Linked DNA regions of Danio rerio. The protein of the gene in region 1 interacts with the protein of each later gene in a pairwise test. Links are inferred from orthologs where the notes say so. Each region holds a gene or a part of one and is shown on either strand. Other genes may lie near its edges. The genes, in order: fxr2, necab2, pcbd1, sytl4, RNA-binding Raly-like protein, lcp2a and baz2ba.

Region 1 (4,808 bases):
TAACTTCATATAACCTGATTGTGCAGAGCTGCTTGAAGAGAAGTACACTTGTGTATATAATAATAAATAACTAAATATTCAAAAACCCATCCAAAAATGTGTATAGATGTGTAAAATGTGTCGGCAGATGGTTGGATAGGGTGAGATTCTGCTTCTGATCATATTTAAAGCTAATTTATTTTGACCATATAATTGGGCTGTTGTTGTATATTATTGTAAATAATTTGGGTGGTTAATATGAAGTCATGTCTTCTAAAAGATGTGAATACAGCTATAAGAGCTGTTTCAATGCTACAAGATTTGAGTCCACCTGTTTGATCTCCCCTGCTGCTTTCCCTCTTCTGACTACTGTTGCCGGTGTTGTTGGTATAGTTACTGTTGCTGACTTCATCTCTCGTGCCGAGTCCCAGAGCAGACAGAATCTCCCGGGGAAGGAGGCCAACCCACACGTGTCCCATCCTAAGGTCTGCACATACTACAACACAAGACACATAATTATGCATGATTGTGAACGTCTTTACTGTGCATGTACGTTTTTGTTTTGTTTTGTTTTTTTGGTAAAAATTTACTATGACAGTTCATAAATTAATGTATTTACTAACATGAAAAAAACTTTAAGTAATACATTTATTACATTTTAGCTAACATTGGTTAATGTTATTAAAGTTACCTAACGTTAGTTTTAGTCTTAGGCCTGTTTCACACCGCAAGCGTGAGCAGAGCGTGAGCAGCACGTGTGTTTTCGGCGTCCATGTTAACAGATTAGAGCTTTCATACCGCACGCAGCAGCAGCGCATCAGAGCGAGGCGTGAGCGTCGCCGAAGCAGCAGTGCAGCGATAGTTTCGGCACTGGTTCTATTTTTGACGCGCTGCTCACGCTCAATTAAAGTGACAGTGCATTGATAATGACCAAAACACATTGAATGACAGTAAAAAGTAGCAATTTTACCCAATAAATGTGTTAATAATGTCAAATGGTTTATATATAGTCATTCAAATTAACTTAAAACGATTAAAAACGGCAACAAACATTTATTTAGGCCCAAACTACAAAACCAAATATAAAACAATTTTAGTATCAGTTTTGCTTAAGTTGCACACTAGTGTTGTAGGAGAGGGGAAATAGAATATTTACGGGATTTGTAGTCCATAGCGAAGTGTATTGTGGGTAGTGTAGTTCGACACGCATGCTGGATTATGTGAGCTCGCTGTGTTCTGTGCAGCTAAGCAGAGGAAGAAAGTTTTAATCGGCTTTGTTTTATGTTCACTCGGATTATTCCTACCGGGAGCTGTTTGCACTGTGAATCTGACAACACGAAAATAAGTAAAAGAATGGCATGCATTGGTTACTTTTGTCCGTCTCATCCTCTGCACGAGCATGAATTAACGAGCTGTTATTCTGCCGCTGGACATCACTGAAGCAGAGAAAGTAACACTAGTTTGATCATGTATAAATATCATTATAATTATATTGTATAAATATTATTATAACTAGGTCTACAGCAACCTGATAATCAAAAAACAAATGACATGATATCACAGGCAATTGTCTTTTGACTGTAGACACTTCTCATATAAGTTAGCTTAAGAAGCAGACAGTACTATTTGATCTATAAAATTTGTAAAATAAACATTTGCAGGTTAAAGAAACAGCATAGGAGGGGCCTTGGTGCAGATGAAAAGTTTAAAAAGTGTATTTGTATATGGAGAGACATGGGTAACTAGATTGAATAGACAGAGATAGGTTGATCTCTGCAGCAGCTGCCGAAGAGCTGCGCGCTGCAGACGCAGCTGGTGTGAAAGGCAAACGCCTGCGTGCTGCTACTGCTTGACATACACGCTGCGCACGCTCTGCTCACGCGCCGCTGACGCTTGCGGTGTGAAACAGGCGTTAGCCCACAGTCCATTATCTAATGTTAACAAGCACAATTTTGGATCTTAACGCAATAGTAAATGTTAAACTGTGATTAATGCTTTACAAGATTATTCATACTTCGTTGATGGGAGTGTCTGTCTGTCTGAATATCATTATATATGCTACATTCTGGCCTGATTGTTACTTTTACAAGTATTGCTTTTTTGAAAGCCGAGTAAAATGTCTGTGCCACCATTATAAAATATTCAAAGTAATCTTTTGGGTTAAAGCACAGCTTGACTAGCATTAGACTCAAAACATAGCATCAACAGTGTTTTATCTCTCTCTCCATCAGGAAAACGGGACCAGCGTGAGTAAGGAAGAGCGCACTCCTTCAAAGCGCTCGCCCAGTAACGGCGTGGCGTCGCCCGGTGAGGCTCTGGCCATGGTGAACGGCGTCTCCTAAAAAGTCATCTCGCCCCCTCAAGACCCACGTCTAAAGCAAGACACCATGGCGAACTCTGTCCCTGCTTGCATTCACGTAAACCTTTAAACTGACGAATGAAAATCGACTAAAATCCTTGAATTCATGAAGTCTACGAGAAAACAAAAAAAAAAAGTAAAAATACGACGAGCGCATCTACTTTAAACCACACATAACGGTGTATGTTTATCCTATCTATCAGTACTTAGTGCTTATTTAAGACAAGCTTGCCAAAAATGAGCTGATGGATATGACTCAAATTTCTGACGTAACACAGAAAACAGGACGTGACTATTTTGGGGTTTCGTTTTAGATTTTTTTAGTTTTCGTTGTTGCTGTTGTCGTTGCCGTCATTATTTGTTTTCGTTTGTTTGTTTGTACTCACTGGCGTGGGATTGTGAACACACTCCCCAACAGATATAGCATCTCTGAAAACAGTGTTAGCTAAATGAGGGCGGAGCTAGCGGAGAGGATTGAAGGCGGAGCCTCTCACGAGTGATTGACAGCTGAGTCTGTGGTACTCTGAATTTAAGGGCAAAAAGGGGAAGCGGAGAGACATTGTGCCTTGAATTTGAAAAAAAAAAAAAAACTTGAGTATTTTCTTTTTACCTTAACGTTTGCGTTCTCGACTGGATGAAGTAGATGGTTCCGTTTTGTTTTTGGTGTTTTTATTTTGTCTAAAGGATGGAGAGGATTGTGCGGATTAAGAGGAGTGCGGATTTTGGGGGAGAAGAGCGATAATTAATGCCAAACATGAAATTATGACATTTGTCCAAGGTCGTTATTTGAAAGCCGTTTAATGTGTGTGTGTGTGTGTGTGTGTACGAGTGTGTGTCTGTTTGTTCATGTGTTGTTGTGAGACATGAAGTAAAAGTGTATAAATTGGGAAGGACGTCATATGATCCAGGAGACGACAGTAGAATCCTAAATGTGATTCGATCTCTCTGATTGAGGTGGCACAAGTCTTTCCCAATAGAACAAGACCGAGACGGAAACAATCTAACAGACAGTGTTGATCATATTCAGTATTTCAACAGCCCACCATACGGTTTTGGGGAGAAGGGAGGCAGGATTATTGTGAGTGTAAAAGCTGGCATGCGTGTGCACACACACTCTCGGTAGCTTCCAGCCACCGCTGTCTGAAGGGCTGGATGGGGTTGAGGCCTCACCGGCGCCCCCTCTGGTGTGTATGGTTGGTCTTCGGTAAACAGTGAAACCCTTTTCTGATGAAGAGTCAGGCATTCGTTCACACACATACATGCATACATCCGAGAGCATTGTAATACACTCCAGTGTGCAGGAATGGAGCTTGGGTCTCTGCTCAGGAGGTTCAAGCGTTGGTTGTATTTCTGGTTGTCCCGATGAAAAGGGGAGGATTGTTCCCTTGCTGTTACTTGTCATCTTGGTTCCTGCTCTCAAAGATTGTTTTTTTTTTCTTTTCTTTTTTGGTTGTACTTTCCACATCATGAAAAAACAAAAAAGATTAAAAAGGAAGTGAAATAAATTATTTCTGGAATGACACCTGTGTGTGTTTTGCATTCTGTTTTCATTTCCGTCTGATTTCAGTTACGCGATTGATTGATGAATGGGGAATAAAAACGCATCGAAACTAGTAAAACTAAAACTTGTATTAAAAAAGCAATGATTTCATCTAGGACTTGCTTGTTAAAAGATCTTGCACAAAAAGACACATTTCACAGATTAAGTCAGAATTATTAGCCCCCCTCTATATTTATTTTCCCCAATTTATGTTTAAAGAAAAGCTTTCACACATTTTTAACACAATAGTTTAAATAACTCTTTTCTAATAACTGATTTATTTTATCTTTGCCATGATGACAGATAGTTTTCAAGATACTGTTAATTAAAGGCTTAATTAGGTTAATTAAGCAAGTCATTGTGTAACAGTGGATTATTCTGTAAACAATAAAAATAATGCTTAAGGGGGCTGATAATATTGACGTTTGAATGGTTTAAAAAAATGTAAAACTGCTTTTATTCTAGTCAAAATATTACAAATTAGACTTACTCCAGAAGAAAAAATATCAGATATACTGTTAAATGTTTTTGCCCCAGAAGATATCACTTGAGAATTATTTGAAAACGGATTAATATTTCACAAGAGGGCTACAAGTTGTTTTTTTGAACTGTATATGTAGTCTTTTACACTCACCGGCCACTTTTTTAGGTACACCTTACTAGTACGGGGTTGGACCCTCTTTTGCCTTCAGAAGTACCTTAATTCTTTGTGGCATAGATTTAACAAGGTACTGGAAATATTCCTCAAAGATTTTGGTCCATATTGACATGATAGCATCACGCAGTTGCTGCAGATTTGTCGGCTTCACATCCATGATGCTAATCTCCCATTTCACCACATCCCAAATGTGCTCTATTGGTTTGAGATCTGGTGACTGTGGAGGCCATTTAAGTACAGTGAACTCATTGTCATGTTCAAGAAACCAGTCT
Region 2 (4,829 bases), on another chromosome or scaffold:
GAACGTGGGCAGGGGAAGCCGAGAGAGGACCGGACCCGGACATATTTTACTTCTGCTTTCAGTTTGACGGCAGTCTCCGTGAGGAGCTGCCGTCCGTTTGTTTTGGTTTAGACGGCAGCCTCCTTAAGGAGCTGCCGTCACTGTCATTAATAAATCACTATAAAACTGCTTCGGTTCTCCGCCTCCTTCTTCCCGGCGGCCAAAGGGCCGTGAACTTTACATTACAGCTTTGAATCGGGGGGTTCTCAGAAACCGACCCATTGTACTAGCAGGCATATACCTGTATTGGCGGGCTTGCCAAACAGAAGCGAATTCACAGCTATGGCCTTCTGGGTAAAAAAGGTTTTCTTATATTTGACGTATTTTTTTTTTTTTTTTTTTGCTTTGTTTAATTAAAACGTTTAAATATAATAAAAAATACATATAATAATTAAACTTAATAATTATATTTTTATTATATTATATTTTTTCCTGCGCCTCCCCTGACATGCTCTGGCGCCCCCCAGGGGAGGCACGCCTCACACTTTGAAAACCCCTGATCTATCCCATCTATTAAGTTTTATTAATTAATTTTTGATGATAAAAATATAAAAAAGTAAGAATAAAGTATTGCAAACTAACTCTAACTCTTAGTGTCGATAAAAGGATCTGGAACAAATAACAAGAGAGAATGAGATGTCAGCCAAAGAAAGAAAAAGATTGACAAAGACTTTAAACGGGAGAGTGACAAATGGATTCAATTAATAGGCACTAATACGGGACTCCCATTTATACTTGCCAAGTCAATTGGATTGATTCTCCGTGCTTTGGCTCAAATCCAATCCACTGAACAAATGCCAGATATATTTGTATTTTAAAGTTCAAGTCAATAGTGCGATGAAGTCTTTAGCAAATGTCACGTGCTGCCACCATTTGATCAACTATTCTCACACATGTGCGTCCTACAGCATAAACTACTGTAATTTAGCGCACACCATTCAACCCCAGTGGAAACGAAATGTTCAAAAACATTAAATGCACTTAATTACTCCCTAAAGCCAGATGAGGTCTGGGACCAGAGGCATGATTATGTAAGAAAGCAATAGCGCGAAACACACTTATAGCCTTCTTTACGACAGCTTGTTAGTGCTCTACTGTCAGGTTTGGGGAAGCCAGGGATGCGAGCATTTGACACGCTCTGAATCTATAACTGGTCTAGCCGCTGAATCGAAGGCTTTCAGAAATGAAAATGGGGTCTTTACAATTGCATAGCTGCTTCAGACACTTTCAGAATAAACTCTAATAATGAATGGCGCTCAGCTGTTTACCAATGCAGGCTGATTCTGGAACAGACATTGCAGAAGACGTGTCAAGATTGAGATAAGTAATGGAATTCTCTCAGAAAGTATAGGGGGAAATCAATTCCCTTACAAGCAGCTGTGCTCCGTATCTTAAGTCTCGACGAGAAAATCGTGTACACATGCTCACCATCCATAAAAGACAAATTATCTACAGCACCTCATTATCTGCATAACCCCGCCTCCACTATTGTATTTACACTAGGGTGCATCTGGTGCCTTTGGCTTTTCTTTCCTGAGGTTTTTAATTAGTTTTCGTCCCCTTATATGTTCTGGTTACCTGAGACTGTATCTGGGTCTGGAACTGAACTACTTTATTATCACTCTCTTAAACGTTTTAACTTCTCCCCCTAAAAGCAATGTGGAAATCTCGAGAGGTATGTCCATCAGATAATTATCCAGCACCAATGAAGAACAATACTGAGGCAATACTTTGACCTACTAAATCAATACTGCTGAGACCTCGCCACAGCAGCCAACCACAAAGCATAACTGCCAGGCTCACAGGAAAAGCACAATAAATTATTTAGGTTCTCTGAGATAAATTCAGAGCAAAAGAAAACTGTTGTATAAGCTCAAGATGCTGAAAGGTACAGTCAAATGTATGCAGCGTTGTAGCTACTAGAGAATATTTGGTGTGTTTTATAATTGGGTTGATTTTTCTAGTGCACATTCGAGAAGCTGAACAGTATTTGGATACGGCTGGGACAGCGCGTGTGCATGCAGTTATAGAGTGCCATTGGGAGGGCTTTATCTCATCCTGAAGGGGGGTCTTTCAGCTGTAAATTATTTTACTCTTCAAAAATGGCTACTCAAATGATTTACCTTGAACAAAAACTATTTATTTAAGTTATTTTTCATTGTATTTCTAGATTTTTTGCTAAGAATGTCCATTATATAGGCGTTATTAGGACACTGCAATCATATAATAGTAATAAATTAAACAAAAACATTGAATGAAAATTTGTTTTTCTGAAATTTAGATTTAATCTTTAAACTTTCTGTCTTTCTGTGTAGCTCTTCTGCTTGCTTAGGGACTTTTAAGACTCACCATTCCATTGTTTTAGGCTTTTTGCGAATTAGACAGACACCAAATTTAATGCTAGACAATTTTTATCACCATTTGATGACCATTTAAAATCGCTCGGTGGCACTAGTTTCCGAGTGCGCGGAGAGATATGCGAAAGTAGTATGTTTCTGGTATGTTTCTATCGTCAACTATGTCCAATTAGGTTACTGTACAAAAACTGATTGCTTGCAACTAACCAATCAGAATTACAAAATCCATGTATTAAAGTATGCAAAGCATGTTAGATAACAACATGCAACTGAAATGCATAAAAGAAAGAAAAAATAAAGACAGAATTAAAAGTTAAAAGTAGATAAATTCATAAAGTGCAATTGCTTTTTGTATTCCCAAAGCATCAAAGGCTTACTAGTTGTGTATGAGTCATTAATGTCTAATTAATGCTTAAAACTCTTCTGAGGTTACTGAATTAATCAACTAATTAATGAATAAATTAGTTCATTACTTTATTCGGGAAACCGAATAAAAGTTGAACGGTCGCGCGCACTTCATATTTCATAACACAGAGAAAATGAAACACCTACATCCAAAATGACTGAGATGCCCTTTCGAGGCTCCGGCGCGAAGAACTGCTCCTGAGCCACCGCCGCCTCCTCCTTCGCGTATTCCCGGGTAGAGATGCTTTTATTGTCGCTCATCTTGGTGACTATCCAGCGGACGAGCCCGTCTATTCCACCGGGCTGTGCGCCGCTGTTTCCGGACTGTGCAGCCGTCGCTGTCTCGCTGTCCTGAGCCCCGGGTGTGGGCTGGTCTTTGCTGTCCTGTGCCCGGAGTTTTGCTTGTTCTTTGTGGAGCAGTTTGTGGACGCCGTCCCTGCAGTAGCGCGCTGCTTGTTCACACATCCTTTTGCCGCGGAGCGTTCATGCTGCGCGCTATGGGGGCGATCCCTCCCTCTGCTATGACATCAGCGGCTCCCAGCCCAAAACTCAGCCCTTCTGACACTCCAAATTGGAGCAGTTAAGTAAATGCCATGAATTTAGTACAGTTGCAGTAGAATAAGATACAATACATGAGAGAAAATGCATTATTTGCAATTTAGAGAGAGGATCAACTAAGAGAACTGATAGCAGACAATAACTTTTGAATTAATGATGGTAGTTATTTTAGTCCTGTTTTACCAAATATTCTACTTCATCTCTGTAAAGTAGCCAATTTAACGGTAGCTGTATTAAAACCCAGGAATAACCCCGCGAAAAACGAGCCAATGGTTACCCTGATTGTGATGATGGGCGTATATGATGACAGAATTTTCATTTTTAGATTAAATATCCCCTTATTTCCACTAACTTAAGAAGACACAACTGATTATATACATTCAAGTCTATATTATGCATGTGCATTATTGTTTTATGATGAAGCAAATTATTATAATTTATGGAGTATGTGTTGCTTTCAGTAAATACATTTTCAGTGATTCATACCATACTCAGAAGGTGTAAAACTCAATTCCTGGAGGGCCGAAGACCTGCACAGTTTAGTTCCAACCCTGCTCCAACACACTTACCTGTAGGTTTTAAACAAGCCTGAAGGACTCAATTAGTTTGATCAGTGTGTTTAATTAGGGTTGGAACTAAACTGTGCAGAGCTGCGGCCCTTTTGGAACTGAGTTTGACACCTGTGCCATACATTGTCAACAAATCGGCAAACTGTTACCATGTTTACCTTGTGGAAAGAAGTGAAAAGAAACACTTGAATAACTTCTAGGTTCCAAAACCTATAATTCTGAATGAAAAAAAATTTGCATCTTTTTTTAAACAAAACCCCCATTTTACCAAATGTACAAAAAACTGTGAAGTCTTTGCATTAAGTTAAAAGTTTTTGGCATACAAAAAGACAATGTTGTTAATAGTGTTCCCATTTGCTCATACTGTATCAGCAAAAATTGATATGCATGCACATGACAAAATATTTTTGTATTTTGTACACAGAAATTAAAATGGTATAGTTTTTGTAGACACTCTCTCTGAAACACAATCTGAAATGTTTGCATTTCCAGGCCCCTAAAACACTCTATTATAAAGGAATGGCAGAAATCCACAAAAAAGTTTCAGTTTTGTTGGCACCAATGGATTAGTAGTTAGTGCGTTGACATATAGCACCCATGTTTGATTCCCAGCTTAAGGTCCTTTGCCTATACTACCCCTTTCTCTGCTCCCTATGCTTTCCTGTCTTCACGATTGACCTTATTCTTAATGTACGAGCAGGTGCAGCCATTGGAACTAAAATTGTCTGTAGTGTAGGTGTGTGAATGAGAGTGTATGGGTTCCCAGTGATGGTTTGCAGCTAGAAGGGCATCCGCTGCGTAAAACACATGCTGGATAAGTTGGCCGTTCGTTCTGCTGTGGCAACCCCAGGTCAATAAAGGGACTAAGCCGAAAAGAAAATGAATGAATGAATGAATGAGT
Region 3 (3,630 bases), on another chromosome or scaffold:
AACACTCACAGGTTCTTGAGACCTACCTGAGCTCAAACTCCCCTCTCGCCCTGCAAACAGGAGGGAGCCCCGGGCTCTCTCTCGGGACAGCATGCCAAACACGTTTTATAATCAATCATCAGCTAAGTGTGAACTTATGAATGACTTTTGTACTGTTAAAATTCATCAGCTATGTCTGAACTTATGACTTTTGTACTGTAAAATATTTGTCAATGATCCCCTTGATAAAATCAATTGTGTGGTGGTGGTTAAATATACTATGAGTTCTTTATGAGCCCTAACTCCATTGTAGCACTGTACAGCATCTGTACACTATACAGACTTGACATTTCCATAAACAATTCAAGTCATTTCAGAATTTAGCGGCTTGGAAAAGTGGTGGAATTTGCATTTTTTTGTCACATTTAAATAAATAAAGGGTCTGGTAATTACAAATGAATTGCCAAAACCTACTAAAACATATTACACTTACAAGCAGACGAATGCAGACTGCACATCATGTTAGTAGCACAATATTGCAGCTGAAGAGCTTTCCTGATCCTGCAAGTATTTTTAAATTTTTTTACACATGTATTATTGCTAAAAATTATTTTTGCAAGTACTTTTAAAGAGATGCCACTTGTTATGATTAACAATCTACGAATCATCCTGTTTGTTTACAGCCCCAAAGCAATCCTTCAGGTTCAACTTGCCCCGCTTCGAGCAGGATTCAAACCAGCATTTCTGGCAAGGGAGGTTGGTGTACTAATAGATTAAACCATAGACTATTTCTTAGCTCCATGGGAGTTCAGGTTTTCAAACATCTACCGTTCTACCTGGCATCCATTACGTGTTCTTTTCCATTTCTCTTAATGTGTTTTAAATCTGATAACAACATCGCCTTAATTGTTTAAATGACAGGCAAGTGCATTGACAGATGATACACAGATTTCAGAATCCCAGCGTTGGCAAACGTTCAGTTTAATACACTTACAATTGACTGAGGCACTAAGCAGTTATCGCTGGATTCAAATGAAGGCACTGTATATTTCACTTAAAAAAAGAAAAGATTTAACCATAAAACACAGTGATGTCAGTTTTTCAGCAATTTTCAGATCAGATCTGTGCCATATTTATACACTCAGAATGTGAAATGATTTAAGTTTACATTTCTCCTGACTTCCTTATTAAGAAAAATGCACCTGTAACAGCCAAACTACACACAGCTAAAACTGATATGCTGATAACTCCGGAAAGTTTCACAACATCGTTGGTCCAGTTTTATAGGTAAGAGGGGTTGAAGAAGTTTAATGAGAGGTTCCATTCACAGGACAGAGGCCTGGTCTATGAAGGTGGCGAGGTTGATGTCTCGCTGTGAGAGTCCTCCACATTCGTGAGTGCTGAGGGTGATCTGAACCTACCAGACAGAATACGTCAAATTTAAATTGAGCATGTTTATCTTTTCATACACATTCCTGGTCTGACAATTAATCCGCACATGTAATATAAAGGGTGAAAGTGTCTAATGCAGTCATCCTCAATCTGTGTTTGGTGTAATTAGTGGCAAAGTAACTAATTAACATAATTAAATGACTTATCCATTGATAAAGTAAAGTTGCTGGGGCAGTATGGTGGCTCAGTGATAAGCACTGTCGCCTCAACACAAGGAGGTCGCTGGATTGATTCTTGGCTGGGCCAGTAGGCATTTCTGTGTGGAGTTTGCATGTTCTCCCTATGTTCGCATGGGTTTCCCCAGTCTAAAGACATTTGCTAAGGGTGAATTGGATGAACTAATTGGCCATAGTGTTTGGGTGTGAATCAGTGTGTATGGATGTTTCCTAGTACTAGGTTGCAGCTGGAAGGGTATCTACTGTGTAAAACATATGCTGGAATAGTTGGCGGTCCATTCCTCTGTGGCGACCACTGACAATTAAAGGAGTAAGCCGAAAGAAAATAAATGAAGTAGTTTAAAAATGTAATTAATAATTTAATTACAGTTACTTATGTGTGCTCGTCTTAAATACTGTAAATAAATTAAATAGTTCTGGATAAATTAACTCAGAAAAGGTAAATAACTGTACTTTTTGTTATATAAATATATTTTGAAAAATAGTTGATCAAGATGATAATACACTTATTAAACAATTAATTAAGTGAGAAATTAATAATACATATGGTATTTATGAGAGATAGTGGTGTTTGGATACATAAGTTATTTACAATTAAATATTTGATTTAAGAAAACTAAAATGCCGTATAAATTTAAATCACGTTTAAAGAATTTAAAGAGTTTGATTTATATTGTTTTATATAGAGATTTATAATTCATGTAGAAACTGAATTACTAATTAAGTATTTGAGTAATTAAGTTACTTTTCAGACAAGGTAATTGGAAATGTCATGTAAATACAATTTTTCCATTTAAATTTACCATAAAGAAATACTACACATCTGTTTACCTTATTATACACATTAAACCATTCAGGATGATGATCCATTTTCTCAGCCTGTAAAGCAACTCTGGACATGAACCCAAAAGCCTGAAGAGAGAAACAAAAGTGAGTGTCATACATTGTGCGCACACAGTAAATAATAGTGTGAAAAGCTTCCTCTTGGCGGATTAATTACCTGGTTGAAGTCTTTGAAGATGAACTCTTTGTAAATGGCATCTCTGCCCCCCACCTCCACCCACTGCGCATTCCTCATCATGGGCAGGAGATGTTCCCGTTCCTCCATAGTCAGAGTCTGAATCTTCCCTGCCTGAGTATTTTAAAGCACTCTGGTTATTTATTTAAACCATTGTCAAATGACGATCTGCTGCAAGCCCTTTTTATTGCTTTGCATTTCTATTTGAAGATAGCCAAATAGTAATGTATATATATTTGAGCATATTTTATGATTTAAATATATGCTGAATTACAGTATTTAAAAAACAACAACGTGCAATTAGATATTTAAAAAAGAACCCTGATCAAATATTTGAGAACACTTCTGGCACCTGGTGGTAATTTTCTGAAAAACACTATTGAACTTGGAGTCAAACTGTCTAGTTTCACTAATTTGCAAGATGATTTCTCTCATACAAGTGTCTGAAACTCTCCGAAAGCAGATTGTCAGGTAAAGGCCATATGGATGAAGACTAGGGCTACACAATATATCATTTCAGCATCGATATCGCAATAGTCACATCGCATAGATATGCAATATGCATGCTTTTATTTAACTTTTATTTATGCTTTATTGCATGAATCTATGCTTGTAGTTTGTTTATTACATTTTATGCATGATTCACTGATCTGCAGAATCATCCAATCAATCAAAATGAACACATTTGATAACACTTTAGGGACTGTTATTAAAATATTGCTTATTAGTACTTATAAAGTACAAAATATGCATGATTTTTTTCTACATCCCTAACCCAATAGCTAAACTAACTCAATATCTGTTGAGAAGCAAATTATGAGCAAAAGTCATAGGTAATGGTTTGCTAATAGCGAGAATTGAACTTTAAAATAAAGTGTGACTAGAAATCCTGCTATTTAATCATTTGGTGAAATTAATTAGATACAGTATATTGCAATATACATAAAATCACAGAAACCTAAAATACCACAATATTCCATTTGTCCAATATTGTGCAGCCCTAAT
Region 4 (4,196 bases), on another chromosome or scaffold:
ATATTATATTATATTATATTATATTATATTATATTACATTACATTACATTACATTACATTACATTATATTATATTGTATTATATTACACTTTTTAGTGTGCTATGCAAGCCTTGTATCTTCACTGGTTTAGAGGATTTTTGAAATTTCACTCAGAAATTAAAATTAAATGAAAATTAAATTAGCATGTTAGAATTTGTGCAGGAGAATGTGTAATTGAATAACCACTGAATACTCATGTAATAGCTCATAAAAGCCACAGCTACCACATACATAGATGACAATTTAAATATTAAAATGTATGTATTAAGTATATTATGTATTAATTTTCCTATACTGTAATTTTGCAAAAATAAATAAAGGCTGCCTTAGTGATTATATAAAATATGATTAAATTATTTTTATATCAATTTATTATTATTATTAAGAAAGAATTTTAAGTCTTAAAATGGTTTAATTTAAACAAAAGTAATTTTATAAAGCATTTATACTTTAAAATACGTATATTGTCTTGACTTTAAAGTTATTTCATTTAACTTATTCACCTTTTTTATTCACCATTTCAAAGCTTGACAGATTGAGGACTTGTTTCTTACACTTGTAACATAGGTAAACGTACTTTCAGCCATCTATGATTTCCAGTAATAAAAAGCAAACATAAAGATTAAAGTTAATATGCCTATATTTGATTTATGTGGTAGATGCAGGTGTGGGAATATCTCTGTTTTCCTACTGTGATATTGCCATTGCCTGCCATTGCTAACCAGCACATTTGCATGTTGAGCTGCATGTCACAGGGCGTCACTGTGTGCTTGTTTAATTACTAGAGGATCTTCTGACATACTGACAGACACTGCATGGAGAAACCGAGAAAGGTCACTCCCCTTATTTGTCAGTTCTGCTCCAGGTCTCTACCCATTTTACAAACAGCAGAGCTTCCTTTTATTTGTGTAGCGCTCGTTATATAGATATTACTGTCTTCCCTTCATTTGTAAGAAACAAATGACCTGTTCTTCCCAGTTTGGTGAGCTTCTGTATTTATTATATGTCTGTAAAGTAAGTGTTACGTGTGGTTCTACAAGTTTCTTTAATTTGCGTTTGTGTTGACACTTATTATGTTGGCTTAATGCATGCTGAGCTGTTTGTTTGATTTTTATTCCTCAGAAGCAGGGCTTGACTGTTGAAGATGGTGCAGAACATGGAGATCAACGTGTCCTTTCTGACTGACTCGGAGCAAGAGTTTATACTAGAAGTCCTCCGGCGGGACGAAGATTTGAGGCATTTGGAGGACCTGCGTGTGAAGTGAGTTTCACAGCTCAATCAGTCTGTATTATTAAAACTTTATTATTAAAAATAAATGATGTCAACTTACATGGTTACATTAAAACTTAAAATGTCAGGTTAAATCTTGATGAACTTGTGTTAATAAATAAAAGTAAATTAAAACATAAGTTGTCATTATGTGTTTATCATTTAATTTTACAGTGTTAAAATAATTTTTGATCTTAAAATAACCCTTAATTAATGATTACTTAAATATTGCTTACTTATCTCTGCTTAATTTGTGGAATTTATGGTAGTAGTAATAACAATATTAAATATTTATTTCAGTTAGATACATGAATAAAGAAATTATTTTCTCTCCAGTGAAACTTTAATACTTTTTTCAAATGTCTTCCAAGTGATGTAACAGACCGAAGAAACTATATTACACTATATTTTATTATAGTTTTTTTCTGGATATACAGTGTTTCAGATAATTGAGTACACGCCTTTTTGAAAATGAATATTTGTATCCATTTCTCAGTGAATATAGGCAATGTATTTTGGTGTATTTAAGCAAAACAGATTTATTGAACAGATATATTTATTGAAATAATATTTTAGTCACCAAACATATTTAGAAATTAAAAGAATACTATTAAATTCAAGCAAAATATTGCAAAATAATTACAACCTGCACAATTTCAACTAAATGTTTCAATTTTTTTGCTTCTGTTGATTTTTCCTCTTGTTTTTTAAAATTTGTATTTAATATTTTTCGATAACATAAATTTGGCTGTACTAGTTTTTGGACTGTTATTGTATGTTATTTTGGTAGATAAGCTCCAAATTTGGCTTCAGTACTGACTAATCTAATGTATATGCAGAAATATAATATTGTATAGCATCCTAAAGAAAATATTAATTCAAAAGATTTGTGAGGGCCTGAGCACTATGGATGGATGGACAGATGGATGGACAGTTAGATAGATGGATGGATGGATGGATGGATGGATGGATGGATGGATGGATGGATGGATAGATAGATAGATAGATAGATAGATAGATAGATAGATAGATAGATAGATAGATAGATAGATAGATAGATAGATAGATAGATAGATAGATAGATAGATAGATAGATAGATAGATAGATAGATAGAACCTATTTAAGCCTTTCACTTTAAGATTGCACTTTAAGCTGAATACTAGTATCTTGCAAAATGACTAGAAAAATATCAGATACTGCCGTACTAGTAAAGGCACTATGAATTGGTTATTAGAAATTAATTACTAAAACTTATATATATAAAAATATTTTGAAAGTAATTTTCTCTCTGTCTCTTATATATTTAAAAAATAATTAAAAAATGTTTAGAATGGCTAATAATTTTGTCTTCAGCTGTATATATAAAAAACTTAACAAAATCAACGCAATATAATTTAGTTGAATATTTATTTTTTAGAAATCAGTCACATTATTTAGGGCTCAGACTCAATTTTATACAGACCCAATTTTGTAGTTTTTGTACTATTTTTGGGTTTAAGAAAAGGATGTTGGTCACTCAAATAATTTTGTGTATTAATTATATGCTCGCTTATGTTCCCATAGGAAGCTGAAAGCCGAGTTTCTGGATATCAGAAGAAAGGGTGCAAAACGTGGCAGTGGGAAATACAGTGAACGCAGCTGTGGCCGCTGCCAGGAGCCCTTGAGCCTTCTAAGCGGCAGCGGCAGCCAGTGCAGATCATGCAAACATCAAGTCTGCAAAAAATGCCAATCTGTTCGACCCAATGGATCATGGGTGTGCACAGTGTGTGCCAAAGAAATGTGAGTGTGCACCCCATGGCTCCCAGCATCCCGCTCTTTGGCCTCAGTCTATTTAGAAACCTATCATTAAGAGGCACATTAGGCTGGAAAATGAGGCCCATGCTTAATGGAAAAAGTTAATGTTCAACAAAAGTTTTTTATTATTCTTCCCTCTCTCTCTCTCTCTCTCTCTCTCAGAGACCTGAAGATGAGCACTGGAGACTGGTTCTTTGACGAGAGGGTTAACCGCTTCTCTTCAGCTCCTGGACATGACTTAGTGCGAGTGTCCCTCAGGAAGAGGCCTCTGAGTGAGTGCAGGAAGCTAGACGGTCTGATGAACTATGTGCAATGTGAACTAACTTCAACTTTCTGTTTTTACAAGGGGTGGAAAGCAGATTTTTTTTTGTGTGTGAACAGGAGAAAAGAATGAGTCCTCTGTTTACTTGAGGGTTAAATGGCTGGCAGTTTGTTTAGATTAATCATTATACACCACTTCCCCATTCTGAAATTTACATCTCTCTGTTCCAGGTAAAAAGCATGAGACAGCTGGGGAAATACTGTTAAACAAAGTTGAGCTGAATCCCAGCCAAGCTGCGCCTGTGCCCAAACCAAGACTAAAGGACATTGCACTTGCCAATAAGAGGTGTGTAATGTAGTCTTATGTTGATACTGATCAAACATTGAAATGTGCTTCATTTAAATATTGACCACTTTTTATCATCTCGTGGATGATTTTATCATATCACTTTGCTCTATTAATATCCACACAGTTCTGTGTTAAAGAGATAGTTTTCCCAAAAAGCTAATTCTTTTAATATTTATTAAACATTATATCATTGCAAATGCACACAAATATTTAGAGAAACTTAACAGGTCTTTGCTGTACCACAATCATGTCCACAGACATTAAGCTGCAGTAGGTGAAGGTTTTACTTAATATTGTTTGATTACATACAAAATTAAATAGATTTAAGAATTTTAACACCCAAGCTGTTTAATTTAAGGGCCTATCAACTAATATATTCTACAAGACATAAGGAAAAATAACAGCATATAAACTCACTGCCCACTTGACATAAATCGCCTGATGCTCGATTTGAGCTGAAAGCCTTTACTGTGTCTACATGT
Region 5 (4,196 bases), on another chromosome or scaffold:
CTTTATTATTTGAAGTGAATAGCTTAACTTGTTTTGAATGGAAGCTCCCTAAACAGGAAGGGAATCCATAATTTGATACACGGTCATCATGTGCAGAAAAAGGTAGATTAATTAAAGCACCAGCTTTAATAAAAGAAAAGAAAACCAGGCACTCACCCAGCGGCTGTCCTGCGATTATCCTGGCGTTTTCTCCAGCTACGGCGGCCCTTGCGTTCCTTTCGCTAATGTACTGGACGAAAGCGTAACCCTTGTGCACCGAACAGCCCACGATCTTGCCGTACTTGGCGAAGATGACCTCGATGTCGCTCTTCTTCACGATGGCGGTGTTGAGGTTGCCGATAAAGACCCGAGAGTTGAGGGAGCGCGGGTCGTTCTTGTTAGTGACATTGCTGGTCTGAGTCTTGCCGGTCATTATTCTCCTGCGAAGCACAGACATGATGGGGACGACATCAAACACACCTGATACAGATAATGTTTTTATATGTGGATATTTTAATCCAAAAGTCTGATGCAAACTGGTTATGCTAAAGCAGGGGTCACCAACTTTAATGATTTTGAGAGCTACTTATTGGGTATTATTATGAATGTGGAGGGCTACCAGTTTGATAAACACTTCTCAAATAACACATTTGCTCAATTTACTTTTAATTATACTTTATGTATTTGATAATAATTAATGATATTCATCCATGTGAAGACACTGATCGTGTTAATGATTCTCACAAAAGTTATCAGCAATGATTTAACAGGGTAGGAAATACCCTGTATTTAATGTTGGTGACCCCTGTGCTAAAGGGTCAAGGTGTCTGCATCAAAATACATGTGTAAAAAGGGAATATGTGAAGTAGGAAAGCTAGGATCTACTTTATTGTTTCTTAAATGTAGATTTTGTGAAAATAAGATGTCAAAATATGTGTAAAATTAGGCATTATTGATATATTTATTTTTACAACAGTTCTGTCTGTTTCTCAAATCTGATTGGCTGATAGCAGTGTGGTATTCTGCAATAACAGCACTTATACAGCCACCTCATCCTTCTGTATTACTCCGCCCACAGTGAGTGACAGCAGATCAATGAATTCACTACAGCTTGACAAATATTACAGCTGTTGGACAACATAATGTACTTTTAATGATTTTTATGTGAGAATGTAGTTGTATAAATTGCAACTATGCAGTTTATTTATAAGGATAGTGCCTATTTTAAATAGTTATCATTTCTGAGATTTATAACGTCTGCATCCATCAGCCTATCATACTGAGCAGAGCAAAGTTGGTTGATGTTTTGCTACAAGATAGTGACAGAGACTGTATAATAAGCCCTTAGAGCAGGTTCCCAACAGGGGGGTCGCAGCCCTCAAGGGGGCCTCAGTGAGCTTTGTGGGGGGTTGTGTCATATTAAAAAAAAAAAAAATCTTAGAAGTGGACAATTAGGAGAATGATCATGTTGTCTTAGTTAATTTTATTTTATAGCTCAGTGGTTCTCAACCACCGGTCCTAGAATCAGTTGGTAGCGGGCCGCACAAGAAATCATTCATTATTTCTTTTTTGTTTATAATCTGAGTCTGAACAATCTTTTATTTAAAAGAGAGGTCTTTTACTTTGAAAAATTACCGTATTCTCTCGCCCAAATTTAACCCACAAGCAGCAAAATGAGTAATGTCGAGTTCAGACTGCATGATTTTCAAAGTAGTCGTGTCACATATGTTTTCACACTGCATGACTATCTGGGCTCGTGTTTCGTCGCTGCTTTGTTTACACTGCAAGATGGATCAGCGATAGGGGTTTTCACATTGCAAGACTTTACTATAGGAAGAATCGCCGACAACTTCGTCTAAACAACGTCTGACAGCCAAAAAGACATAGTATATCTTTTGTTATTAACTACATAACGAGAAAGAAGCCATTAATGGGGTAGAAAATGTACATATTGGCTCACCTGGGTTTGAAGGGAATTAGCCATTTCTCCTCAACTTAAGTTGACAATAAATTAATTTCATATAATTAATTTAAATAAATAAATTAACTTTTTTTAACTTTCTGTCAGTCTGAACTAGGCATAAGAAACAGACTTCTTTAGAAAGTTTCTTTGCTAAGAGAAAAGGGCCCGCAAACAGCCAAGGAATAGATCTGCAACCCACTTGTCAACAATCAGGCGAATCCACCATGTCTGTGCAAGAAGATCATCTGATGGAGATCACAAATGCCAACTTATCCAGCATACGTTTTACACTGTGGATGCCCTTCCAACTGTAACCCATCTCTGGGAAAAATTAGGCTATTATTTGTGCATAAACATATGTAGATATAGTAATAATCATACCGTTTGTTTGAAAACAATATTTTTTTGTCATCATTACTGCAAACTTATATGAGCGATTATGTCATTAAATGTGGAGGGGGGCTTTACTATATTTTCCGGAGAAAAAGGGGCTCTCAGGCAAAAAAAAAAAAAGGTTGGGATCCACTGCCTTAGAGGACAAAAAATAAGCATAATTTAAAACTACAACTGATTAAATCATTACAAAACAGGTAAGTGACTTTCTGGTAGTGTTTCTGGTAGTGCTTGCTTTGCTTTGGCTTGTTTCAGGGTTAAATAGGGACATCACGACTGCAACAAAGAAACACAGGGAAAGCTCTATAAACTGATGGCATTTCATGCTGTTCAGCTTCATAATCTTAAAATATGAGAAAAATCTGCTGTTTTGTCATCACTTTAGGTATTAAGCTAGATAATCATTCAAACACTAGCTCTAAAGTGGCGTTTGTGAAGCAGCAACAGTTTCAGCTGTTCAGACGTCAGTTGCAGATGTGAATGAATGGTGGAAGAAAGTAGTTCCTCATACAAAAGGGTTTTTAGACTCTCAGTGTTTGATTTTCTTTTTTATATGCACGATTATGCCGTCGAACTGTTGTATAAATGCAATATCACCCAAGTAGCAGTGCAATGTAGCTGTATTGTGGTGGGACACAATGCACACCTCCCACCTGTGACAATATACAGCCAGATCGCACTGCTCCTCGTGTGATATTGCTCATGTAAAGATGAAACCAAATACTTATTCTGACCTGTACTTCAAATATAAAACAGAATGAATGATTACACACTGTCACCCACAAACACACATGTACACACACAAATAAAAATCTTGCTGCCTTTTTTGTTGTTTATTCAAGTAAACTTTTCTAGTCATCTCAAACTGCGTCAGTTAAAAATACTTTAACTTATTTATATTTATATTTATACTTATATAAATTTACTGATATAAAGTATATAAAATTTACTTGTAAAAAATACTTATATAAATTTATATTTATACTTATACTTATTTATATTTAACTTTATATATACAATATTTAACAAAAAAGAAAGTAAACCCGATTAACTGATTAAATTAGGTAACAAAAATATTTGTTGTCATTCGTTTTTATCTTATCATTTTTTACTTTTATCAAAATCCAAGAGGTTGCCAACTTCCTGCTGGCAAGTGTTAAAAATCTAGGCTTTAAAAGAAAGCGGTATAGTATAAATGAGAATTAATTACTGCATGAATTTCACTATTGTAAAATATTATTCCAACATGATGAGTTCTACAAAAGCAAATAGTGTAAAACAGGCAAGTTTATCAGTCATTTTTAAAAGGCAGTTTCCCTATGGAGAACATAAATGGAGGTTTTACTCCCAGTTACGCTCTATTTAAACTCTCCACCAAAACCGGAGCAAACTTTCTGGAGCAAAAATGCTCACAGTATGTACATCGACCCTGACTCAACCTTCACATCTTATAAAGATTTTGGGATAAGATACTGTACTGTTTTCTTATCACGATGAAAGAACAGCAATTGCAGAGATAACCAAAATTAAATTGCCGTCTTATGATATATATACCTTGATTCTTAAAAAAGATTGCACTGTCTTAACATCCAGGCCAAGTGCTCTGCCTAATGTTGGCATGATTGGCTAAAAATCTTTTTGATCAATATACTAAACAAACACTCTACTTTTTAGGAAATAGGCTCATTTTACAACCGCCAACCTGATACCACCAATGTTCCTGGATTAACATCTATGTTGATCCTGGAACAACATTATCAGTCAATAAGAATTAAGTATTATGTTTACTGTTTATGTTGAGTTTAGGCTTGCAGCTTATACATGAGTGTTGTTCAACTATTATTCTCCTCTGATTTTTGGA
Region 6 (4,696 bases), on another chromosome or scaffold:
TAAGACACTTTTAAACAGTCTAAAGTGACATTTAAAGGCTTAACTAGGTTAATTAGGTTAACTAGGCGGTTAAGGTAATTAGGCAAGTTATTGTATAAAGTTGGTTTGTTCTGTAGACTATTGAAATAATATATAGCTTAAAGGGGCTTAGACTTTTAAATGCTTTTTAAAAAACTGTTTTTATCCTAGCCGAAATAAAACAAATAAGACTTTCTCCAGAAGAACAAATATTATCAGACATACTGTGAAAATTTCCTTGCTCTGTTAAACATTATTTGGGAAATATAAAAAAAAAAAAAAAATCAAATGGGGGCTAATAATTCTGACTTAACTAACTGTACATATATTTATTATATATTTGCTATTGTGTATATATTTGTAAATTTTGTTGAAATGTGTACATCAATAAAAAGCTATATATTTTTAAGCAAATTAAGCTTATAACCAAAAGACTATTACACAGTAAACAAACAAACATGTTTTTATATTAATTTAACACAAAATGCGTTAATCAATCACGTTTTAACATTTCAATTATCTGAGATTCAAATTGATGTTTTATGTCAGTTGTCTTTCTTGTAACATAAGTTTAAATGACTTGTAAATTTAAAATCAAACCAAAAGTGCTCAGGCGTAGCTTAAATAATGTGTCGGTGATCTTTGGGTAAGGGATTCATCAGAAGAAACTGCAAAAGTCACTCCAAAGCACTTGAAAAATGTGAAAAAAAATTATAAAAAATGGTTTTAAAATATTTTTTTTCACTTTTTTCAAGCACTTATTTTTACAACTTGAAAATTTTATTTGATTCAACAAGTCAGCATCTAATTCTTTAAAGTGACTAGTAAGATGTCAAACACACAATTTGTTCTTAATTGTCCATCTGTGTTATTATATTACTATCATTGTTCATATTACTATACTGCCTGTTTATTATAAAGCACATATTAATGTCTTATTCCAGTCTTATTTAGATCCCTTGTTAAAAAAAAAAAAAAAAAAAAAAGAAGTGGTTACAGAATATTCACTTTCAAAAATGTTGGGTTCCACACAATTCCTTCATGTTGTCTCAACACAAATCGGTCAAGCTAACTTGAAAGTTTGTACAAATTTATCTGGATTGAACATAAAACAATTAAGTTGTTTCACAAAAAAATCCTTAAGAATTGTGTCGTTTCAACCCATTTCAAATAAGTAGTTTAAACAAACAGCAAAAGTCCTTTTCTAAATGTTTCGTTGAGTTGAATTAACCTTACAAGCCAACTTGCATTGCATTAAATTGATGTAAAGCAGCTCTTATGACTTAAAAAATAAGTCGAAACATGCTTAACTTATTTTAGTGAGTTACACATAACAACATAAAATAAAAATTAAAAGTTGTAATAAAAAGTTTATTTTCTTACAGTGTACGCATGTTAAGACAACCTTTCATATCATGAATAAGTGACAATCAGGCGGTTATTGAAGGGGAAAACTCTTATTGGTGAACACATGTAATATTAAGATTTTTTTTTTTTTGTGAAGGGGCTGTACTTCCCCTATTTGTCAAAACAATCATTAACAGGAAGTCTATGGGGAAGTGGATGTCATTCTTTCTTTTCATACTCAGCTCAGGCAAATCCGGGGTGTTGGGTTTTTTCGTGTTTTCAGAAAATGTCGGTTGAATTTTGAGTAATTTCTTTAATTTCTGGATCGGCAACTGGGTGATTCTGTCATTATTTGGCTTTCTTTGGTTTGTTTTTTTAGAGCTGACACGTTTGTCTCCTCGTGTTCGGTGTCAGACGAAGTGTGAACTCAATCTGAGAGTGGTTGCTTTTTTTTTTTTTTGGATGCTTGTAGGCATTTAGGATTTTATATTCATCAGTGAAAAACAATGAGTTTTGGAAGTTTGCCGTCCAAAGCCGAGGTTCTGAACTGGGATTCACATAGCTTGGCAGACTTTTTGAAGAAGGTACTGTAGGTTACTTTCTCTTTTTGTGTCTTTCAATTGTGTAACTTTAGAATTAAATTGTACAATGAAATGGGTTGAAATGTAAAAATATTGTTGTGTAATCGGTTGTTGTTTAATAGATGTTCAGTTCAGATATTCTGTCATAGATGTTTAGCTTGTATCGACTTGGTCAGCACATACAGCATGCTTTTAAAGATATTTACCACATTTATTCATTATTTTTTGGATGTTGGATTTATACACACACGATAAGTATATAGATTCAATAAAATGGAATTCAGTAAATGTATGTCTTTTTATAGGCATTCACTAAATGTAGATGATCTATAAATACTGTATTCAGTAAATATATAGGGCCTTTTAGAGACATTCAGTAAATATTTGGTCTTTTAGAGACATTTAGTAAATATATAGGGTCTTTTATATATATATATATATATATATATATATATATATATATATATATATATATATATATATATATATATATATATATATATATATATGTAAATATATTGGCCCTTTTATAGACATCCAGTATATAAATATATATATGGTCTTTTAAAGACATTTAGTAAATATTAATGGTCTTATATATATTCAATAAATATATAGGGCTTTTTAGAGACATTCAGTAAATATAGATGGTCTTATAGATATATTCAGTAAATATGATCTCATATATATATAAGCAAAATCACACGAGTAGTGTGCTATGGCTGTACATCAGCACTGGTGGGAGGCGTGCGTTGGCACAAGGCCGCAGGCCGAGTGCCTTAGCGCCCCACCAGTGCTGATATACAGCCATAGCACATTACTCGTGTGATTTTGCGTTTATAGCACAGTTCGACGACAAAATCTTGTACATAAAAACGAAAATCAAACACAAGAGTCTAAAACCCTTTTGTATTAGTAACTATTTTCTTCCGCCATTCATTCACATCTGCAGCTGATGTCAGAACAGCAGAAGCCATTACTAATTCACCAACGTCACTTTAGAGCTAGCATTTGATTGATTCTCTATAGCGTAATGGGAAGCAGCGCTTCTGGTGTGTGACCCCACTTAAGGTGATGACAAAACAGCAAATTTTGCTCACATTTTAAGATTATAAGGCTAAACGTGACATGAAATGTCATCAGTCTACAGAGATTTCTCACCAGACTGCTGTTGTGTTTGCGATAAGGAGGAACAAGGCTGAATCCAGCTTCTTATTCGCAGCTTCTTATTAACTCTATCCGGTCCATCTTAAAAACCATAAGGCTTCAGTTTTTCAGCTTTTTATATGCGCTCAAGAGAACACACTGAGAAAGGGCTTATTATGCGGTTCTGGCGCCATCTTGTAGATAGACAACGTCAACCGTCTTTGGCTGCTGACGAGGTCTCAAAAATTGTAAATATTTTAAAATAGGCACTATTATTACAAATAAACTGCATAGTTGCAATCTAAACAACTACATTCTCGACTAAAAAAGCCTCAAAAGTACATATTGTTGTCTAACAACAGTAATATTTGTCAAACTGTAGCCTGCTTGTTGCTTGCTGTAAGGGCGGAGTAATACACAGAGGTGAAGGGTGAAGAGGCCTCTGTGTGATGTTACTGGCAAAATATCGCATGGATATTAGCCAAACAGATTCAAGAACCAGACAGAACTGTTGTTTAAATGAATATATACTAATGAATACATACACATACAGTAAATGTATAGGGCCTTTTATAAACATTCAGTAAAAATAGAAAATATTCTTTCCTCTGGAGAAAGTCTCATTTGTTTTATTTCAGCTAGAATAAAAGCAGTTTTTATTTGTTTATGAACCATTTTAAGGTCAATATTATTAGCCCCTTTAAGCTATATATATTTTTAATAGTCTACTGAACAAACCATTGTTATACAATAACTTGCTTTAATTACCCTAACCTGCCTAGTTAACCTAATTAACCAAGTTAAACCTTTAAAAGTCCCTTTAAGCTGTATAGAAGTATCTTGAAGAATATCTAAATATTGTGTACTGTCATCATGGCAGAGATAAAATAAATCAGTTTTAAGAAACAAGTTATTAAAACTATTATTAGAAATGTGTTGAGAAAGTCTTCTCTCCATTAAAAAGAAATTGGGGAAAAAATAAACACAGAGGCTAATAGTTCAGGGGGGCTAATAATTCTGACTTCAACTGTATATTCAGTAAATATTTAGGGCATTTTAGAGACATTTAATACATATACATTGTCTTTTTTTAGACAGGTCTTTTAAACCTTCTTTAGATAATCTTTTATTGGAATTCAATACATACATATGTTTTTTTTTTATTGGTCATGATGACCTTTAATAGACAATTGGTAAATATAGACTTTCTTTCTAATAGATATCCAGTACATATATTTTGATTACTTATTTTTATTTTTTATATTTTTAGTAGATATTTTTTTATATACATTTACAGATGTTAAGCACATTTGGGCATATTTATGTGACATTTAGCACATAGACTCTTAAAATGCAGTTCTTATTCAACCCAAATATGGACAAACCAAACAATTGTCCATATCTGGCTCACATTTGTGCTGAAACAACTTTTTAGAGTGTACAGTAACTGTTTTCTAGACATTCAAGACATCAATGTTATTTAAAAGATATATATATATATATATATATATATATATATATATATATATATATATATATATATATATATATATATATATATATATATATGTATATATGTATGTGTGTGTGTGTGTATATATATA
Region 7 (4,196 bases), on another chromosome or scaffold:
ATGTTGTTGTGGTGGTGTAGTGTACTGTACTGTAGTGTAGTGTAGTAGTAATTTTGTTTTAATCATGTCACCCTATGGTATTTACACATACATTCACCCAAACACACTTACATTCTCTTTTTGTCTGAGTACAGCAACAAAACCTAATCCGCCGGAAGCTGTTTGAGTCGTCTCACGCCCTGCGGTCCATGTCATATGGACAAGACCGGTTCCGCCGCAGATACTGGATCCTGCCACAGTGTGGAGGAGTTTACATAGAGGCCTTAGAGAGTGGAGAAGGTGAGGCTTTTACAAAACAAACTCCATGTAACGAATACTCCATGATTGTATGTATGTATTTATATATGCAAAATATGTGTTTATGAAAAATGTAATATTGACCGATTGTCACTTGTGGCAAATTCATGATCTAAATGCTAGTTTTTTTTATTCTCTAGATTTTTAAGGTACCTTATATATCTATATTCTTATTGAGAGCTATATATAGTTAGTGTATATATATATATATATATATATATATATATATATATATATATATATATATATATATATATATATATATATATATATATATATATATATATAAATTAGGGGTTGAACAACTGCAGATTTTTGGAAGCTGACTTTTATGTTATTAAAGTCGAGTCGACGTCGACTAGTCGCTGGTGAAATCATCAATAAAACACAAGACGGAAATATTTTGCTACACACCAGAATTTTGTATTGATTTGGAGGAAATACATAACACATGCTGTTTGACAGCCCATAACACGTTGCAAGAACAATTCAACCTTACCAATGACTAGTTTTAGTGGACAACGAATGGATTGTAAACAATTTGTTAAAAGCAACATCAGCACAGGCGATTTTAAGTGCAAAATAAATGCGGTCAACACATTGATCATGGCTCATACTGCAAAGAATGTAACAATAACGTATATATTTAGTGCAAAAAAATGCATACACCATCAGCACACTGTACATAAACATCAATTCATGGCAGGATAATTATTTCATAACAACATAATGCAAGAAAGATAAAGGCTATAAGCTGACTTCCTGTCAGACTCCTGCTCAGACGCATATTTTGCCGTTATGCCAAATACGGCAAAAAAGCTGATCAAAATCTTGTTCAAGTCACGCTTTTTTTCACAGTTACTGGCTCGTCTTGGTTATTGAAAATCTCTCACATGTATTTTAACCATGCTCACCTGAGATGATGCTTACACATGACGTTTGCAGCACATTTACATTTAAATTAATTTTCATTCACACATTTAAATTAAGTCTCATTCGGTAAACCTACATTCATGTGTAAGCTGCCATGTAGTTCAGGTCTCAAAAACCATATGATCTATTCTACTGTATATACAGTATATAAAAAGCATACAAGCTACAGAACAAACCATCGTTATACAATAACTTGCCTAATTACCATAACCTGCCTAGTTAACCTAATTAACCTAGTTAAGCCTTTAAATGTCACTTTAAGCTGTATAGCTGATATGTCTTAAAAATATCTAGTAAAATATTAATTTCTGTCATCATGGCAAAGATAAAATAAATCAGTTATTTATAATGAGTTATTAAAACTGTTATGTTTAGAAATTTGTTGAAAAAATCTGCTCTCCGTTAAACAGAAATTGGGGGGAAAAATAAACAGGGGGGTAATTATTCATGGGGGGCTAATAATTCTGGCTTTTTTTTAACCATTATATAGAAAAGAGCAAGCAGGACTTTATTTTTATTTCAGCTTTTTTGTAATCTTAAAAAAAACATAAATAATCATAAATAAACAGAATTTCATTTTTGACAGATCTACATCATTTATTTGACAAAAACTTTGTTCCTCCCTCTGTTCTTCATGTAGGTCTGGAGGAGCTAGAGAAAGAGCGCGAGAGGTTGAGGAACTGTCCGGTTGTGCAGGTCAAAGAGGAGCCCAAGGAGGAAGTCCTGCAGCATCATCAGCACGAGGAGATACAAGGGACACTGAAAGAGGAGGTCAAACAGGAGGAGGAGAAGCCCATGGATCTGGACCAGGAGCCAAATAAAGAGGCACGCTCCTCCCCTCTAAAAGACAAAACAGATGTTGTGGCCACACCCCCTCAACTACCAGAACTCCGCCTCTCACAGAGCCCTCAGTGTCAGGAGCCACCTCACACGCCACGCCATGCCCACAACGGCTGCTCGGCAACAATCGCCATGGACATGACATCAGGATCGTCTCCAGCTCACTCTCCAACTACCTCCAAGCTGACCGAGGCCAGCAGCCCAAACGCAGAGCACGCAATCCCTCCGCCTCTGCAGCTAGGCATCCCTGCGCACCTCCTGCAGCCGCAGCTGGCGCAGACTCAGCTCCTCGCCAGCGACCAGCTCTACAAGGTTCTCAGCGAGCGCAGCGGACACTGGTTCAGCCTGCTGCCTCGCTCACCCTGCGACGACACTTCCCTCATCCAGCCGTCTGCGCACCCGCAGTCCTCGCCTAAAAGCAACGCCACAAACACACGGCCCAAATCTCCACCTCCACCGTCTACCTCTTCCCCGCACCATCACCTGCTTCCTCTGTCTGCGTCTGCAAGCCCACTGAACCCCACAGCTGCAGCCGGGATCAGCAACCTCAGTGTGCAGGTAATTAGTACAAATATGCCCCTCTTTACAAGATGCTAAATCTCTGATGTGCCTACTGTGCGTATGTGAAGTTTTAGCTCAACATACCCCCACCATTTTTAGGTTTTGATCCAAACTGTGCTGTTTGGGTGACTTTCACTTTAATTCAAATGAGATTGAGCTCTTTTCAAAAGAGGGCGGAGCTACAAATTCCTGTTTCTCAGCAGATTCAAAACAGGACTATTGTTATCTCAGTGAAAATGTCAAAATAAGTGGCTCTGAAAAAGGCAGTCCGTGGAGACTAGAGTGTTGAGTTGTGCATTATTAAACTCTACATTTATAGTCCTCTTAATCGCTGACATTACCTTCGGCAGGTGTGAAAACTCTAATGGCGGATGGCTGCTTTTCACTCAAGGCTGTTTATGCTAATGAAGAAGAAATTGTCACTACTGGGCGGAGCTTTCCCCCTCTGATGACATGTTTAAAGGGAAAATGTCAATCAAAGTGTTTCTGCAGACTGCTTTTATTCATGTCTAGGTGTATAAAATAGAATTAATTATTTTTTACCATTAAAGGCTGGCTATTTTCACACATTTTTTGCACACTACTATGTTTAAACTTTATACATTCCTTATAAAAGGGATATTTGCATAATTGGTCTTCTTTAAAGGGGTGGTCCACTAGGATATCATATTTTAAAGTTTAGTTGATATTGTAATATTGTTGTAATGCAGCTGTATGAGCATAAACAAGATCTCTGAATGTAATATACTCAAAGTTCAATGCAAAGGGAGACATTGGCTTTTACAGAGTTAGCTTAGCTAAGCCTACAGCCAAAGAAGTTTGGGGACTACAAAAAATACACCCGGGTTAATGATGTCATAAACCCTTCAAGTTACACACACACACACACACACACACACCCCACACAGTGAAGGGGCGTAGCCAGAGGCGCTGTAATGATATAACTGAGACGCTTCTTGGTGATGTGGAGCTGATCTGCAAATCACAGAACATTATGTTAGCTGACCAATCAGAGCCTCTTGAGGGCAGGTCTTCAGAGGAACTAGGAAAAATGACGTCGTTTTCATGTTAGCTGAATAGCTGTATATAACTAAAGTAAGATATATGAAAAAAGTGTGATTTTCTACAAATAAAGCATTAGCACACATTGCTTTGCAACCCATAAACACAACCAGCCTTAAAAATACTCTGGACCACCCCTTTAAGTTGCCTTAGTTACTATGCACTCAAATTTAAATGAATCATTTGATACAGTGCACATTTTGAACAATTATGTACTTGTAATTACATCTGTAATAAATTTTTGTTATTCCACTGTTGACCATATCTCACATCTTAAAGGGATAGTTCACACAAAAAAATGTAATTCTATCATTTATGGAAATGTACTCTCTTTTAAGTGGTTTTAAACCTTTATTAGTTTCTTTATTCTGTTGAACACCAAATAAACTATTTGAGGAAAGCTGAAAATCTGTGACTATTGACTTCAATAGTATGAAAAACAAATACTATGGATGTCAATGGTTACAGGTTTTCAGGATTTTTAAACACAATACATACATTGT

What was found.
Region 2: the proteins of fxr2 (region 1) and necab2 interact in a two-hybrid assay, tested with the Homo sapiens proteins (2 studies listed by BioGRID and IntAct). The link is inferred for Danio rerio from reciprocal best matches to the Homo sapiens genes FXR2 and NECAB2.
Region 3: the proteins of fxr2 (region 1) and pcbd1 interact in binary tests that used the Homo sapiens proteins (3 or more experiments, as listed by UniProt). The link is inferred for Danio rerio from reciprocal best matches to the Homo sapiens genes FXR2 and PCBD1.
Region 4: the proteins of fxr2 (region 1) and sytl4 interact in binary tests that used the Homo sapiens proteins (3 or more experiments, as listed by UniProt). The two-hybrid records come from large-scale screens. The link is inferred for Danio rerio from reciprocal best matches to the Homo sapiens genes FXR2 and SYTL4.
Region 5: the proteins of fxr2 (region 1) and RNA-binding Raly-like protein interact in a two-hybrid assay, tested with the Homo sapiens proteins (2 studies listed by BioGRID and IntAct). The link is inferred for Danio rerio from reciprocal best matches to the Homo sapiens genes FXR2 and RALYL.
Region 6: the proteins of fxr2 (region 1) and lcp2a interact in binary tests that used the Homo sapiens proteins (3 or more experiments, as listed by UniProt). The two-hybrid records come from large-scale screens. The link is inferred for Danio rerio from reciprocal best matches to the Homo sapiens genes FXR2 and LCP2.
Region 7: the proteins of fxr2 (region 1) and baz2ba interact in binary tests that used the Homo sapiens proteins (3 or more experiments, as listed by UniProt). The two-hybrid records come from large-scale screens. The link is inferred for Danio rerio from reciprocal best matches to the Homo sapiens genes FXR2 and BAZ2B.

Annotation. Positions count from the first base shown.
Region 1 is NC_133182.1:22,740,999-22,745,806, forward strand, and holds the end of fxr2 (fragile X mental retardation syndrome-related protein 2), read left to right. Parts: intron 1-372; coding exon 373-464; exon of another isoform or gene 465-692; intron 693-1,895; exon of another isoform or gene 1,896-2,210; coding exon 2,211-2,321; 3' UTR 2,322-3,858; downstream 3,859-4,808. UniProt on the Homo sapiens protein: mRNA-binding protein that acts as a regulator of mRNAs translation and/or stability, and which is required for adult hippocampal neurogenesis. Specifically binds to AU-rich elements (AREs) in the 3'-UTR of target mRNAs.
Region 2 is NC_133193.1:22,796,741-22,801,569, reverse strand, and holds the start of necab2 (N-terminal EF-hand calcium-binding protein 2), read right to left. Parts: upstream 3,281-4,829; 5' UTR 3,267-3,280; coding exon 2,949-3,266; intron 1-2,948. UniProt on the Homo sapiens protein: May act as a signaling scaffold protein that senses intracellular calcium.
Region 3 is NC_133188.1:28,942,026-28,945,655, reverse strand, and holds the end of pcbd1 (pterin-4-alpha-carbinolamine dehydratase), read right to left. Parts: intron 3,243-3,630; exon of another isoform or gene 3,076-3,242; intron 3,035-3,075; exon of another isoform or gene 2,740-3,034; coding exon 2,608-2,739; intron 2,520-2,607; coding exon 2,439-2,519; intron 1,397-2,438; coding exon 1,304-1,396; 3' UTR 944-1,303; downstream 1-943. UniProt on the Homo sapiens protein: Involved in tetrahydrobiopterin biosynthesis. Seems to both prevent the formation of 7-pterins and accelerate the formation of quinonoid-BH2. Coactivator for HNF1A-dependent transcription.
Region 4 is NC_133189.1:40,027,072-40,031,267, forward strand, and holds part of sytl4 (synaptotagmin-like protein 4), read left to right. Parts: intron 1-843; exon of another isoform or gene 844-1,022; intron 1,023-1,162; 5' UTR 1,163-1,184; coding exon 1,185-1,300; intron 1,301-2,873; coding exon 2,874-3,089; intron 3,090-3,266; coding exon 3,267-3,376; intron 3,377-3,596; coding exon 3,597-3,711; intron 3,712-4,196. UniProt on the Homo sapiens protein: Modulates exocytosis of dense-core granules and secretion of hormones in the pancreas and the pituitary. Interacts with vesicles containing negatively charged phospholipids in a Ca(2+)-independent manner.
Region 5 is NC_133199.1:37,020,517-37,024,712, forward strand, and holds part of RNA-binding Raly-like protein, read right to left. Parts: intron 420-4,196; 5' UTR 413-419; coding exon 157-412; intron 1-156.
Region 6 is NC_133196.1:32,961,571-32,966,266, forward strand, and holds the start of lcp2a (lymphocyte cytosolic protein 2a), read left to right. Parts: upstream 1-1,586; 5' UTR 1,587-1,871; coding exon 1,872-1,949; intron 1,950-4,696. UniProt on the Homo sapiens protein: Adapter protein primarily involved in signaling pathways within T-cells, as well as other immune cells such as platelets, mast cells, and natural killer (NK) cells.
Region 7 is NC_133181.1:12,941,718-12,945,913, forward strand, and holds part of baz2ba (bromodomain adjacent to zinc finger domain protein 2B), read left to right. Parts: intron 1-134; coding exon 135-279; intron 280-1,870; coding exon 1,871-2,628; intron 2,629-4,196. UniProt on the Homo sapiens protein: Regulatory subunit of the ATP-dependent BRF-1 and BRF-5 ISWI chromatin remodeling complexes, which form ordered nucleosome arrays on chromatin and facilitate access to DNA during DNA-templated processes such as DNA replication, transcription, and repair.